Linked DNA regions of Notamacropus eugenii. The protein of the gene in region 2 interacts with the protein of the main gene of each other region in a pairwise test. Links are inferred from orthologs where the notes say so. Each region holds a gene or a part of one and is shown on either strand. Other genes may lie near its edges.

Region 1 (7,275 bases), on a different chromosome or scaffold from region 2:
GTATTTGATTATGCTGAATGATGAAAAAGGAGGTATCATCCTGACTTACATGCATTGATGATGCATAATTACTTTTATGCTGTCAAATAAGTGTGGTTCTGTTCATGCAAGATATCTTTCCCCAGAACCAATGACTTCTATATAGCTTAGTCTTAGACTAACTGACTTACTTGCTCATGGTCCAATTTTTAATAAACATGTAAGGCAGGACTGGAACCCAGGGCTTCCTAACTGTAGATCTAGCATTTTATCTACTATGCCAGACTACCTCTCAATTATTTAATAACTTATAAAAAATAATAATTTATATCATAATTAATACTATAATCATTGAAATAAATTGTAATTCTTTAGATTATAATTAATTTAATAAATGAATTAGATCTATAGATATTATTGTTGTAGATATTATTTTCCATCATTTTGAATTTTGAGATTTCCTCATAGATAAACCTTCCCTGCTTTGAAAGAACAACACTTCTGTGTGTATGTGTGTTTAATTTTTCTGCAGCATCACTAAGAAAAATAGCCAGAAAGGCCTTTCAGATTCTAAACCTTTATAGCTCCTCTAGAATAGATCAGAAAGTCCATGTGAAGGCTAAACCTGCAGAAATAAAGATTACCCAGAGGTGGCGCTCTGGTTAAAGTACACCTGGATTTTGATTACCGTGTACTGATTTACTCCAGATGCCTCTGAAGAGACATCGTTAACCATTATCTCTTTTGTATTTATGCAACCACAACCTCAGCAAACAAACATCGCTGGTAAAAACACTTCCCTCCACATGGTCGGTGAAGATATTACTCCTCAGACCAGAGGGTTTGAACATCCTTTAATCCAGGAGCAAACCAGGAGGCCTCTTTTAGCTTGCTTGAAGAATCACAGAAGAATCCACATCTACATGGGCCTTGCCAGTAGCCTAGCTTGCCCTTAGCCCTGGATAGGACTAGCTTCATTCTCACCTCGATGAAGGGCATTTTGCTTGAGAAATATACCTGAAATGTGCTTTTCATTATAGGCCTAAATTTAATTGTACCCCCCATCATGAACTGGTGTTATTTCACTTTTATGCTGGTAAATTATTTACATGGGAAAAATTGAGTTAAGAAATTAAGATCTGCTACTTCGATGTGCATAGAATTCTCTCTTCTGTTTGGTTTTGTCTGAGCCTTCTCATAATCAGATAATCACAGACTGAGTGGAGGTTTTGGTTTGGAGATTTTAAGGCGCTGTCTTATATTTCTACACTATTGAATCCTTTAAGATCACATTCCTATCTGTCATAACCATGGCAGAGTGAACCATGGCAAGACCTGGCCTCACTGTCCCACCTCTGACGCATACTGGCTATGTAAGCCTATCCAAGTTCCTCCAATTTCTGTATATAGATTTTAATGTATTGTCTTGTCTCATTACAATGTGAACTTTTTGAGGGCAGGGACCAAGCATTTGCATTTCTTTCTATTCTGAGCACTTAACTTAGCACAGTGCCAGGCACATAGTAAGCTCTTAATAAATGTTTGTTAACTGATGGACTAACTTCTTCCTCTTGTAAGAGTGTCAATTACAGAGAGGTTGCGAACCTGAGGGAATTCCTTAGTACAGTTCCAACCCAAAGTGAAAGAATTAAGAATATTACAAGTTTTGATACTGATGGACAAATTTCAGCATTGTGATATTTTAAGTTAATTGAAGAATGTTAATTTAGATATCTAGCAGAACATTCTGTATACTTTGCAATATACTACAATGCAAAGTATGCCAGATGGGGATTCTTAGGACCTGAGTGTGAATTCTGACTCCAACCTTCACGGTGCATGGTTTGGAGCACTTTTCTGGGTCTCAGACTCCTCATCTCTAAAATGAAAAAGTTGAACCAAATAACTTCCCCTTTAGCTCGAAATGTTGGATACTGAAGTTGTTTATTTTAAACCATTTTCTGCTATTTTGGGTGCATAGTCACCATTCAGATATTATTGCTATTTCTTTGAAAGCCTGAATTTTGAAAATCTGTAAAACTTGCAGACAGTAAAATCACAGCCTGTGAAGAGGGAGCCCTTCTAACTGGGTTCTTTGGCCAGTCTTCTTGTCTTCTCATCAGCACAGAGTATGGAAGAGATAAATTTATCCCACAGGGCTGATTTCATTCCATTTCCTTAAAAGGATGATAAGAGGTTATAGTCCAAAGGGAAATTACCATCACCTAGTCCTATCAGAAACTGAGATACAGAGAGGTTAAGAGGCCTTGTCTACTATCACTTAAGAACTGTAGGCTCAGGAGTCAGACCCAGTTGTCTGACACCAAGGCCCAGACTCATCTACTAAACCGCAGCTACCAAAAGGCCTTTGTCCTTGCACAGCTATTTTCCAGGACCATCCCTCCATAACTTTCTACTAACAATTAGACCTAATATTGGCCCAGCAAATAGGACTTTTATTACCTCATTTGCAGCTTAAAGTTGAATCCTGAGTTGAAACTTTAGAAGCTGACAGCAGGAGGTAGAGGGAAGAGAGACCCACTTGCAGGTTCTTTGACTGTGGGTGTTCCTGGGCTCTAACATGCTGAGAACATTGCCTCCAAACATATGATTTACGTTGAAAGTGAGCTTCCTTATTCTCCAAAGCATGCATGATTGCTAATCTGGCCTTATTGTTCAAAACTTTGCTTCTGGATGCCTGGGAGAAATGGGTTCCTCTTCTCCTCAGAGCAAGCTGACAAAGGAGGGCATGCCCAGTTAACGCCTCCATCAGATTTCTTCAGCTTTGTCTATGAGCCCAGGATCATCACTGAGTGTTCCCTGAGAGTCTACTAAGTGCGTTGGTTTATGTCTCGGTCAAGGGAGATTAAAAAAAAAGTCTCCCCTCTGAAAATTTCGCAGGGAAAAGCAAGATGATTGCTGTTTTCCCCCCATTAACAAAACTTCCCTTTAAGTTTCTGAACCCCAAACATCAGAGCTAACAACTTTGTGAGTGTGTGTGTGTGTGTGTGTGTGTGTGTGAACCCCACCCGTCCCTTGCTCCTGGGACAACAGCAAAACTGCTGGATTGGAACTTGAGGACGCCCCCTTCACCCATTTAGGGGGGTACGGGAGTGTCTTCTGTGAGAGATGCCAAAGTTTTCCCAGGGCCTAGACTGGGGATGTCCCCGAAATCCTTGAGAACTAGGAAGCGTCCCTGGCTCGGACACGCAAGGGAGAGTCCTGCGGAGGCAGGGGCAGCGGCGGGCAGCAGCGGGGGTCCCTGCGGGCTGCCGCCGCCGTGCTTCCCCACCTGCCGCTGCCCTCTCCTTTCCCCCAGGTTCCCTCCACTTCTTTTCCTCCTCTCCCTCTTTCCTCCCTCCCCCCCGCCTCCGGTTTCAGTCATCCCTTTGTCCTCCCCCGGATTGGCAGGTTTTATTATTCCGCCTGAACAATCCGGCCGCGCAGTGGCTGAGGGCCGCTGACGTCGGCGGCTGAGCTGGAGAGTAGTTGGGATTCTGCTCTGTCAGTAACACATGTGTAAGAGCCGCGGAGGGAGAGCGCGAGCGGGCGAGAGGCCAGCGCCGCCTTGGAGCCGGGCAGCGGCGGCGGCAGCAGCGGCAGCGCGGACAGCGGCAGCAGCCCGGCCTCGACCCGGCTGTCGGGCTTGGCCCCGGCTCCGCTCGCGCCGCAGCCCGTGCTGGCACTCCTGCGGAAGGCTGCTCTGAGTGGCCTGGAGGGACTCCGCCTGCCCGCCCGCCCAGCGCCCAGCGCCCGCCCGGGCTCTCGTTGTTTCCGCTGCTGCCGCCGCCGCCGCTTTCTGGATCTCAGCAATCGCCGCCGCCTCCGCCAGACCAGAGCGAGCGAGGGAGGGAAGGAAGGAGGAGGAGAAGGAGGAGGAGGAAGGGGGGGCCGGGAGGGCGGGGGGGGGGGTGCCGAATATACAAAGTGAAGCCACATTGCCAAACTTGCAGCAGCGACTGCAGCAGTCGCCGCCGCCGCGCCTGAAGCCGAGCTGCTCGCGGGGCCCGAGAGCCAGCCAGCCAGCCAGCCTTGCAGCTGCTCGGGCGAAGCTGGAGGAGGAGGAGAGAGAGAAGGACTGAGACGGAACCCTCCGCTCCGGGGCCGGGCGGCCACTTCGCTGGGGGGCACCCGACCCACCAATAGAGCCGCGCATTAAAAAAAAAGAAAGAAAGAAAAAAGATTACCTTGTCCCACCCCTCCTCCTCCCCCCTCCACTCCACTTCTGCAAGAACTCGCTCCCTCCCTCCCTCCTCCTTCCTCCCATCCATCTATCCATCCAGCTCCATCAGTCCAGCAGCCCGGGGAAGCCGAGCGAGCGGCTCCGCGGAGATCTCGCCGCCGCCGCCGCCGTCTTTTTGCAATATAGGGGAAAAACAGGTAAGCGGACTTGCTGGGGAGAGGAGATGGGGCGGGAGGTGGGGGGGAGGGCTGGGGGTTGGTGGTGCTGGTGGCCCGGAGACCGGGAAGGGGGGGAGGTGTCCTGTACCGTGGTTGTTTTCTTTGGCTGCTTTCCCTTCCCCGTCCCAAATTGCAAGTAAACAATACGTCGGCTTAGATAATGAGGGAGTCTGAAACTAGAGGAAGGCAGGCTGGGGGGCGGGCTGGCAGGCGGGTGGACCGAGCAGGAGGCCGGCAGGCCGGCAGGCAGGCGAGCACCAGGGCCGTCAGCTTTGTAGCGGTCCCTGCTTACAAAAGGGTTTGTTCGAAGAGGAGGGCTTGGGGGGGGAAGGGGGGGAGCGCCTTTCCAGCCCAGAAGTGAAAGGCTTTGCCTGTTTCGGTTATGAATTGAGGTGGGGAAAAATAGTCTTGCCTCCCTCCTCCCCCAACCCCCCTTCGCCCCCCAGTAAACACTATTTTTGAAACAGTGGCAGAAAGGATCAAAGTGGGCAGGGTTTTTGTATTGGTGTCTTTTTTTTTAAAGAAAAAAATTCCTTTTGGCTTATAAGTCTTTTGTTTCAATCCAGGAGAAATCCGGTGAATCACCTAATTAAAATCAAGACATGAATTAAGCATCCATTTTTGTACTACAAATTGCCAGCCCTACGCCTGTCCCTCCCTTGGTCTCCATTAAAAAACACCAGAGACGTTGTTAAAGGGGGGCTTATTTTGCCTCTAGCTGCCAGTTCTGCTTTCTGTTTCACTGACTCTATCCCAGGACCTAAATTGCTCGGCTATGTAATTACTAGAATATAAGCCTATTTAACTTAAAAGCTTTTCTTTTTTTTTTTCCAACTCTAAATGAAACTTGATGAGGGCCCGTCCTTAGTTATCTGGGGAGTCAGTTTCTGGTCAGTCCTTGATTCATCATCTCTTTTAGATTTAATCAGCATTAAGGTATTGCTTGTCCTTAAGAGCTTTAGCTAATGGGGTTACTGGATGCTTCTGCTCAGTGTAATGTTTCCTTTAAAAAATTATATATGTACATACACATATGTAATACACACATTATAGAGAATATACACACATACATACACATATATTTACATACATATGTTTACTTCACAGCAAAGATTCAGGATAAGCAGCATGGAATCTCTCCCCGTCTCTCTGTCTCTGTCTCTGTCTCTGTCTCTGTCTCTCTCTCTCTTCTCTCCCCCTCTCCCCCCCGCCCCCCTTTTAAAGGAATTCAAAGCGATTAGAACGTAAAGGGAAACATTTTTAAGACTCTGGGCAGGAAATGCAGATTCATTTGGGTTAGGGCTGAAATTGTAACAAAAAGCAATTCCTCGAGTAAATGCATCAGATAAATCAATTTACATAAAGGTATGATGCATTCGGATAAATGCAATGCTAATGGGTTTTAGAGTGGTCCTGTTTCCAAAGTCTCGGGGTTTTGTTACAGCTTAATTGGTGGAGTTCTTTTTCTGGTTTATTGTGTGGTCACTAGAGACACGTTCAGGGACGCTTTCGGAGGAAATGTGTTTAAAAATCGGCCTATTTTAGGAACCCGGGGACTTGGGGCTTGGTGCCCTCCCCTCTTGCCAGCTACCAAGTTGGGCCAGGGGCAGGCAAAAAAAAGTTCGCCGTCTTTCTTCGGAGGTATCAGTCTGAATGCCTTTAGGAGATGGCCCAAAGCCTTGGTATGAGTACACACACTCGGCTTACAAAGGACAAAGACAAAAACATGCTGCTTAATTGGCAGTAAATAACTTGATCTTTTTATAGTATAAGTGACTGGAGGAACACTAGGAGTTTATTGGACTCGGGATCGGAGGCCACAAATTAATCGGTTTAGTCTAAGCTTTATAAATTGATTCCTATATTATTCCCCCAGTTGCTGCCTCTCTTGTGGCATTCATTTAGAAAGTGTGGGGGAATTTTTTTAAAAGCAGTTTTTGGTGACAGCCTGGCTAGCTCGAATTTAACTAGTGTATCCCTTGATCGTTCTCAGATTATCCCCAAAGTTCTTCCCTCCTCCTCCTTCTCTCCCTACCCCCCCCCTTTTTTTTATGGAACAAAGCTTTAGCATTTAAATTACTGATCAAGGGCAGATTAGCGAGACAAAAGTGGAGTGTGTTTGTATAGGAAGTTAACAGGCGTCCTAAAGTTCAATGATCTATTATTCTGGCCGGTGTCCTGAAAACCCAGAGAAAACACTCATTGATCTTCAGAATGAAATGAGATTTGGAACAATAATGGGAGATGGCCGTCACCACAATGGCATGTGAAAGGTGCTGTTTAAAAAATCCGAAAAACCAGTTTCGCAACTTTACACACTGCACTGTTTCCCTCTCTCTCCCTTTCCCCCCACTCCCATCCTCCATCCCCCTTTCCCCTCCCACCCCCACTCCTTCTATTTCCCTCTGCTCCCTCTCTCTCTCCCTCCCTCTCAGGAAACTGAAGTGTTCCCAACTTGAGCTCCAGCTGCACTTCCCAGAGTTGGGCATGATATAGGGGTAGGGGGCTGCGGGGGGTGGGAAGCCTGGGCTCGGCCCACTGCTGCTGCTCGTCCTCCTGCCTCCGCTGCTGGGGCTGGGGTAAATGACCCTCATTTGCTAGAGGCTAGATGCGTGCCGAGGTGGGGGTGGGGGGAGATAGGCGGAGGCTGGGGGCGGGGAGTTGAGAGTGGGTGGGTGGGAAGGAGGGAATCGCACTGCAGAGCCTCTCTCGCTAGAAGACTTTGACAGTCGCCAAGCTGAAGTTGTCAGTGTGGGCTGCTCAGCAAAGTTCCGAGGGAGCCTCTTGGATTCGGAACCGAGCCCTGAGAACAGTGCTTTGGAAAGAGGGTCTGGTTTGTGCCCCTTCCTTCTTTGCCCTATACCACTGACCTTACCTCCCCAGCCTGTCCCCTAC
Region 2 (7,248 bases):
AAAATCAGCTCCCGATAGATAAATGCCTACAGTGTATGGACAGAGAGTTGTTAAATGAAGAAAAAATTTCTATCAACTATATGGAAAAATCACAAATAGTAAAAAGAATGCAAGTTAAAATTACTATGAGGTTATACCTTCTTGGCTGCAATGACAAAAAAAGAAAAATGAAAATTATTAGGGAGGATATGAGAGAACAAGCAGACTAATCTACTTTTGGCAGCTTTTTGCCCTGACCATTTTAGAAAATAATTTGGAATTATACCCACAAAGCCACTAAATTATGTATACCTTTGACTGAATGATTTCACTACTAGGCATATATCCCAAAGACATAAAAGAAAGGGATCAAAGAGCAAGATATGAAAGCAAATTCAGAAGCTATCTAATCCAACTCCCTCATTTTATAGATGAGGGAACTAACACCCAGAAAAGTGTAATGATTTGCCCAAGGAAATACTAGCAGTAAGATTTGAACCCAGATCCTCTGATTTGGAACCATTGTACCATGCTGCAGGATCCACATATATAAAAAAATATTCAGAGTAGCCCTTTTTTGTAGCAAAGAACTGAAAATAAATGATTTGTCCATTCAATGGAAAATGGCCATACAAATGATGGTATCTGGATTAATGGAGTACTATTGGGCTATAAGAAATAATGAGAAGGATGGATTCAGAAAAATCTGGGAAGATATGCCTCTCCTAATACAGTGAAGTAAACAGAGCCAAGAAAATAATTGATATAAAGAGGCTAACACTGGAGGAAAGATAATTTTGAAAGACATAAGAATCCGGGTTAATGTCATGTCCAACCACAGCCTCAGAAGACCAGTGTTGAAATATTCTTCCCAGCTCTTGAAGGAATGGTTATGGACTAGAGATATAAGAATGTGACATAAATTTTCAGCTATGACCAATGGGTACATTTGTTTTATTTGACCACACTAACTTGTTAAAGGCAGAGGTTGTTTTTGGGAAGTGGAGAAAAATTTGAATCTCTCCTCTCCTGACCACTCCTGCCCCCCAAAAAAGAGGGGATATCAATGAATCCTTAAAGAGAAGGCACAGAGAAACGAATATGATTACGTTTTAGTTTCATATATAGTTCTTTTTTATTGTTCTCTGTAAAAGTATGCATATTTCTTGAGTACAGAATGACAAAAAAAAAAATTTTAAGGTATTGAAAGGGAGAAAAGACTGAAAGATTACAGAAGCAACTAATGTGAATATGAAAAACAAAATCACCACTGTTCAGAAGAAGTTAAATGAGTAACAGAAGATATAGTTTGTCCCCAGTGGAATCAGGATATAAACCCATATCTATCTTTGTCCTATTTTGGAAACTAGTGAAAAATTAAATGTGGAATTCAATTGACATAAGTGACATCTACATGGAAAATCCCATGCTCTTGTATAAAGAGTAGATCCATGCTTGCATGACATAATTGGGGGAAATGCCACTATTGTCTTTTGGGGCTCTAAAAACAATATATAAACATCATAAAGAATATTTAATAGCATCTTCATCTCAGGACTGAATCCAACCAATATTTATAGAGAAAGTAAAAATATAATCAATGAAATGGTTTGCTATTACACAGCAGGATAATCTCTAGAGATGTTTGGAAATAAACAATTTTAAGAGAATGGTGTACATTCTTCCCCTGATTTTCAAAATAAATATTTTTACTTTCTAATCAACAATATAAAAGCATGGGAAAACTGCATTGGTACTATATTAAAGGATATTCTCTTAAATTTAATGTTGTCATTGAAAATGTATGGGTAAGAATAATAGTATAGGAATAATTTTTTTCCAAACTAAGATCTTCTGTTGGCTGTAAAAGTATGGTGATTTACTTACGTGAAAAAAAAAAAAAAAACTTTTTTCTACTATGTTCTAAAGCAACTATCCTGGGATCAACAATCCTTTGATCTAATCCTTTGAATTCTGATATGTTCGTCAAAATTTAACTAGAAATTGAAATGCCCTGTCCCCAAAGAAAGATTATAAAATCTGATATGTGAGCTGATTTAGAGAGGTGAAAAAATCAGAATTGGTGTGAGAGTGGCTAGAGAGATAAAATAGAAGGATTAAGTTTTTGAAAGCCATCTGTTACTTACATTTATCCAGTAGCTAATCATGATTTTAGGAATTTCCTTTCTATTTGCCAAACCTACTTCACATTCACAGGTAATCAAAATTATGATCTTTTTTTTAAAGTAACAGAAAAAGTAAATCTCTCAAGTTGTCAAAGAAAGAATTTTTGTTGTTGTTGTCGAGACATAGCATTACTTCTCTGTGTAGTTATATTTTCCATTCCCTTAGTATGTCTATGTATTAACCTTTATTCTCTGTCCCTCTCTCTTCTACAATGGAATCCTGTATTTTCCATAAGGAAATTCAGATCACTTGTGGTTGCTCTGAAATGTAACATATCTCTTTTGATCACAGGACTTCCTGTCAACAATTACAGGAATTCAACAAAAGCTCTAGACATTTCCAAAGGACTTCAAGTGCATGAAGCATAAATCTATAGTTTTGATAAGCAATGTTACCTTTTTTACTTCTTATAGCATAAAATAAAGCCAACATTTCTGGTATTTCATTTTCATCTTTTACTACCAAAGTCTGTAAAGTAATATCTTCAGTTACTATCTATATTTGCATGCTAAAACCTTACCTGGTTATGATAACTATACAAATATTTTAAACACAGGAAATATATATGCTGTCAAGATAAACAGTACTAATAGTGGAAAAATGAAAAAAGAATGGGAAAAATACATCCAACTTAGCAAGAAACTCCAAATACGTCTGTTTCTTCCGTTTCACAGACCCACAGTAGTCTTGCTCTGTGTCTTATAACCAACTACTTTTTCCCTTGCTCAGAGAACAACTCATGCTCTACCCCAGCAGGAAAGTATAAAAATTAAATAGAAAAACCACAAGGTTATTAAACACTCTTACCCTCTGGACTTGCTGGGCTGCTCTTGCTTCTCAGTGTTACAGACACATGTGTAAACAACTGAATTTCCTGCATCCTTTCCTCATCTGTACAGCTCTGGGGTCTTGGCCAACAGGATTATATCCAGCATTAAGGCCACTCCACACTAACTCAGAAAGGATTCCCATTGGTTGTGAAGCTTTATCAAAGCCAATACCACAACAGACTCTTTGGATTTCAACTTAGCTAACCAAAATAAATTCTTTTTCTACTGTCCCCAAACTAAACGTGAGTTTCCTAAGCTTTCCTTCCCTACCTTTTCAAACTATATACTATGAACATATCAGGAAATCTAAACATAGTGTCTCATTAGCAAGTTTTCTACTTATTTTCATGTCATTATATTCAGCCAGTCACTATTTTAAATGCAACAAAAATGCCAAAAGAAAAACTACTAATGAACAAATCTGCAAAGGCAAGGCATAAACATCCTTTGTTATAATTAACAATAGAAAAATATCTGCAGTATTCAGTATATCACTGTAACTTGTTTTGTAAAAGAAACGCAGTAAATTTAACGAAATGTTCTGGTAAATAAATCACAGTTCAAGATCTCTGTCAGAACACTTGATCTCAGTCAGACTGATAAGAATTCTGAGTTTCCAAGTCAAGGACCCCCCAGTGAGAGAATTTTGGCTCTGAATCTCAGTGGTTTATCTGAGTGACTTTCCATTGACATGACTCAGCTGTCAAGATCCACTGAGGGAGTGGTGATGTTTTATCCCTTTAGGGATGCAAGTAAAAAAAATATTTCAAAGGTTAACTCTAACATTTCAAATTGTCCAGAGGAAAACTAAATGACAAAAACATCATATAACAGGAAAAAAAAATTTTCCTTCAATTATTTGTATTTTCTCTCCCTTTGGTTTAGAGGATTAATCTTTGTTATTAAATAATGTGATGTTATCTGCATCCTCTGGTGGCAGTAATTCAAATCAGATATGTACCCAATAGGCTACTAATTATACTGTCCTGGTCATATGAAAAGTTGAGAAAGAAACAGCTACAAGATTCCCATTGTATGGAAAGCCAGAATTAGATCCTACTGGATGTATCACAGACTCCACAACAAAGACAACTCACAATTGCTCTAAGAACAAAAAGAAACACCTATTTTGCTTTTCAAATCCTTATCATCTTTCCCTTCTGCTTTTTTTTCTAGCAGCAGAACAGGTTTTTTGACTCAAGTTCTTCTGAGAGCTCTGTCAATTTTTGTTTGGCTCTATGCACCCTATCTTCCAGATCAATGTTTTGCTTATATGGAGATCATACTTTCTTTTCATTTCAATAATAGCATTACTTTAATATTATTGCTTTTTGCTTGTCTTCTAGATTGTCCTTCACTATCATGTAGTTACATTCCCAATCAGTTATCCTCTCTAGTTTCTGTGTTGATATGTGTCACTGTGAATTCAAATTTTTCTATTTTGTTAATTATCTCTGCTGTATAGGACATAAATTCTTTTACAATTTTTATTTCTCTTTTAAACCACTCATGGACATGTGGGGAGGGTATATAATTGAGCTCTGCTTCAAGTCTATTGGTTGACTTGTACAACTCTGCTACTAGAGGGTGGGTGGGGAACATATGCTAACTGAAATTTGTTAGCGTCTAGAACTTCTTAGATTTAATTCACTGAATTTTTACCTCATTTGAGTTCTTGGTGTTCTCTCTTACTCATAATTCCTATTTCTGAAAGGTTAGAAAGATTATGAGAATCAGAGATTGCGTCTGCTCCTCCATTTTGCTAATCATATGACCTTGAAGTCGATCTGTCTATATCATTCTCATTCTGTCTCTGTCTCTGTTTCTGTCTTTGCGTGCGCTCTCTCTCTCCCTCCCTTCCTCTCTCCCTCCCTCTTTCTCTCTCTCTCTCTCTCTGTCTCTCTCTCTCTCTCTCTCTCTCTCTCTCTCTCTCTCTCTCTCTCTCTCTCTCTCTCTCTCTCTCTCTCAAAACAGGACCAGATTTAGGTGATCTAATTTTAAATCCCATTCCACCATTACATTGTTCCATAGCCTTGAGCAAATCATATATTCACCTAAGGCTCAGTTTCCTGATCTATAAAATGGAGTTAATTATATTTACAGAACCTTCTGTTCAATGAAGTTTTTGTAAGGAAAGCATATATTGTAAATTGTGAAATGCTACATAAATACTCACTGCAATTGTAGGTATTGAAAAGATGTGTAATGAATGAATGAATGAATTCAAAATGAATCATAGAATCATTAAGCCCACAAAACATTTCACACCTAATTTTTTAAAAAGTTATTTCTATTGATGACTTTTGTCTTTAGCTTCAAATCTATTTCTAAATATATTACTCACTCTCCCCACCCAGTAAACCACATATTATAATAAACACTTAAAAAAGCAAAGAAAAGTAGTTTAACCAAAGAAACCAATATATCAACAAAGTTTAGCATTATATGAAACACTGCACATTCATGTTCCTCCACCTCTCCAAGCATTTATTGAGTGATTTTTGTGCGAAGCACAATCTATGAGCTCCCACTTTTTTGCTAATTCTTCCTTTCTAAAAGAATGCTGCTGTGGTTTGCTTTTTTTTTTTTTTTTTTTTTTTTTGGTATATAAATGATCTATCTTCATACATCAATTTCCCTGGTATATGCTTTTTATACTGTCATAGCATATATGGGCCAAAGCACATATGGACACATTAATCACTTTTTAGTATAGTTCCTGATAGGATTCCAGAAAGATAACATCAATTAACAATTTTACTTTAGTGTGCCTGTATTTTTTCAGACCCTCTATCTTTTGTAATCTTCTCCAGTTTGCCAGCTATGTTTAATTCTTAAAATTCTTTGATTTTTATTCCTATCATTATTACTGATTTGTTAGTCTTTTTTATTTGTTTAATATTTTATTTTTTCCAATGCATGTAGAAATCATTTTTGACATTTTTTAAAATTTTGAGTTCCAGATGCTTTCACATTCTTCCTTCCTCCCCTCCAATCCGTCTGAGACAACAAACAATTTGATATGGGTTATACATGTCCAGTCATGAAAAACATATTCTCATATTAGTCATGTTGTAAAAGAAAACATAAACTCAAAAAAAAAAAAGAAAACACAATTTAAATATGCTTTGATATAGTACGTTTCAATCCACATTCAGACTCCATCGGTTCTTTCTTTGGAGGTGGATAGCATTTTCTATCACAAGTCTAGCAGAATTTTCTTGGATCTTTGTAATGCTGAGAGTAGCTAAATCTTTTACAACTATTGACACAATATTACTGTTGCTGTGTACAATGTTCTCCTGATTTTGCTCACTTCATTGTGCATGAAAATCTTTCCAGGTTTTTTTAAAGGATCCTGCTCATTATTTCTTATATGACAATAGTATTCCTAGTGCAACCGTATACTACAACTTATTCAGTCATTCCCCAATTGATGGGTTTCACCTCAATTTCCAATTCTTTGTCACTATAAAAAGAGCAACAATATTTTTATACACATAGGTCCTTTTACTTTTCATAAAAGTCTCTTTTAGGTACAGATCTAGTTGTAGTATTGATGGATCAAAGAATATGGGCAGTTTAATAGCAATTTGCAAATAGTTTCAAATTGCTCTCCAAAAATGGTTGGATCAATTTACAACTCCACTAACACTAATTACTGCCCTCATTTTCCCATATCATCTCAAACATTTATAATTTTCCTTCTCTATCATATTAGCCAATCTGATAGGTGTAAGGTGGTACCTCAGAGTTGTTTTAATTTGCATTTCTCTAATCAATAGTGATTTAGAATATCTTTTCACTTGACATAGATAGCTTTGATTTCTTCAACTAAAAGTCACCTCATCATATTCTTTGACCATTTATCAATTTGTGAATGACTTGTATTCTTATAAATTTGGCTAAGTTCTCTTTACATTTGAGAAATGAGATCTTTATCAGAGAAACTTGTTATATATAATTTTTTCCATTTTCTGATTTCCTTTTAATCATCTGCATTAGTTTTTGTTTGTACAAAACCTTTTTAATTTAGTGTAATCAAAATTATCCATTTTATAAACCATAATGTTCTCTATTTCTTGTTTGGTCACAAATTCTGCTCTTATCCATAAATCTGAGAGGTAAGGATTTGTTAAATTCTTTCAATTAGCTGTTAATAATTTGAAATTCTTTTCAAAATCTTTTGTTGCAACCTTTAATGAATTATTTAATTGAGGAATTGTTCTAAGATATTTTTATGTTGACTATT

The links.
Region 1: the proteins of CCDC102B (region 2) and LMO4 interact in binary tests that used the Homo sapiens proteins (3 or more experiments, as listed by UniProt). The two-hybrid records come from large-scale screens. The link is inferred for Notamacropus eugenii from reciprocal best matches to the Homo sapiens genes CCDC102B and LMO4.

What each region holds. Positions count from the first base shown.
Region 1 is NC_092873.1:497,021,270-497,028,544, forward strand, and holds the start of LMO4 (LIM domain transcription factor LMO4), read left to right. Parts: upstream 1-4,223; 5' UTR 4,224-4,359; intron 4,360-6,805; exon of another isoform or gene 6,806-6,959; intron 6,960-7,043; exon of another isoform or gene 7,044-7,213; intron 7,214-7,275. UniProt on the Homo sapiens protein: Transcription cofactor. Plays a role in establishing motor neuron identity, in concert with MNX1, acting, at least in part, to disrupt LDB1-LHX3 complexes thereby negatively modulating interneuron genes in motor neurons.
Region 2 is NC_092875.1:218,775,534-218,782,781, forward strand, and holds the start of CCDC102B (coiled-coil domain-containing protein 102B), read right to left. Parts: upstream 3,086-7,248; 5' UTR 2,974-3,085; intron 1-2,973. UniProt on the Homo sapiens protein: During interphase, forms fibers at the proximal ends of centrioles to maintain centrosome cohesion. During mitosis, dissociates from the centrosome following phosphorylation to allow centrosome separation. Contributes to CROCC/rootletin filament formation.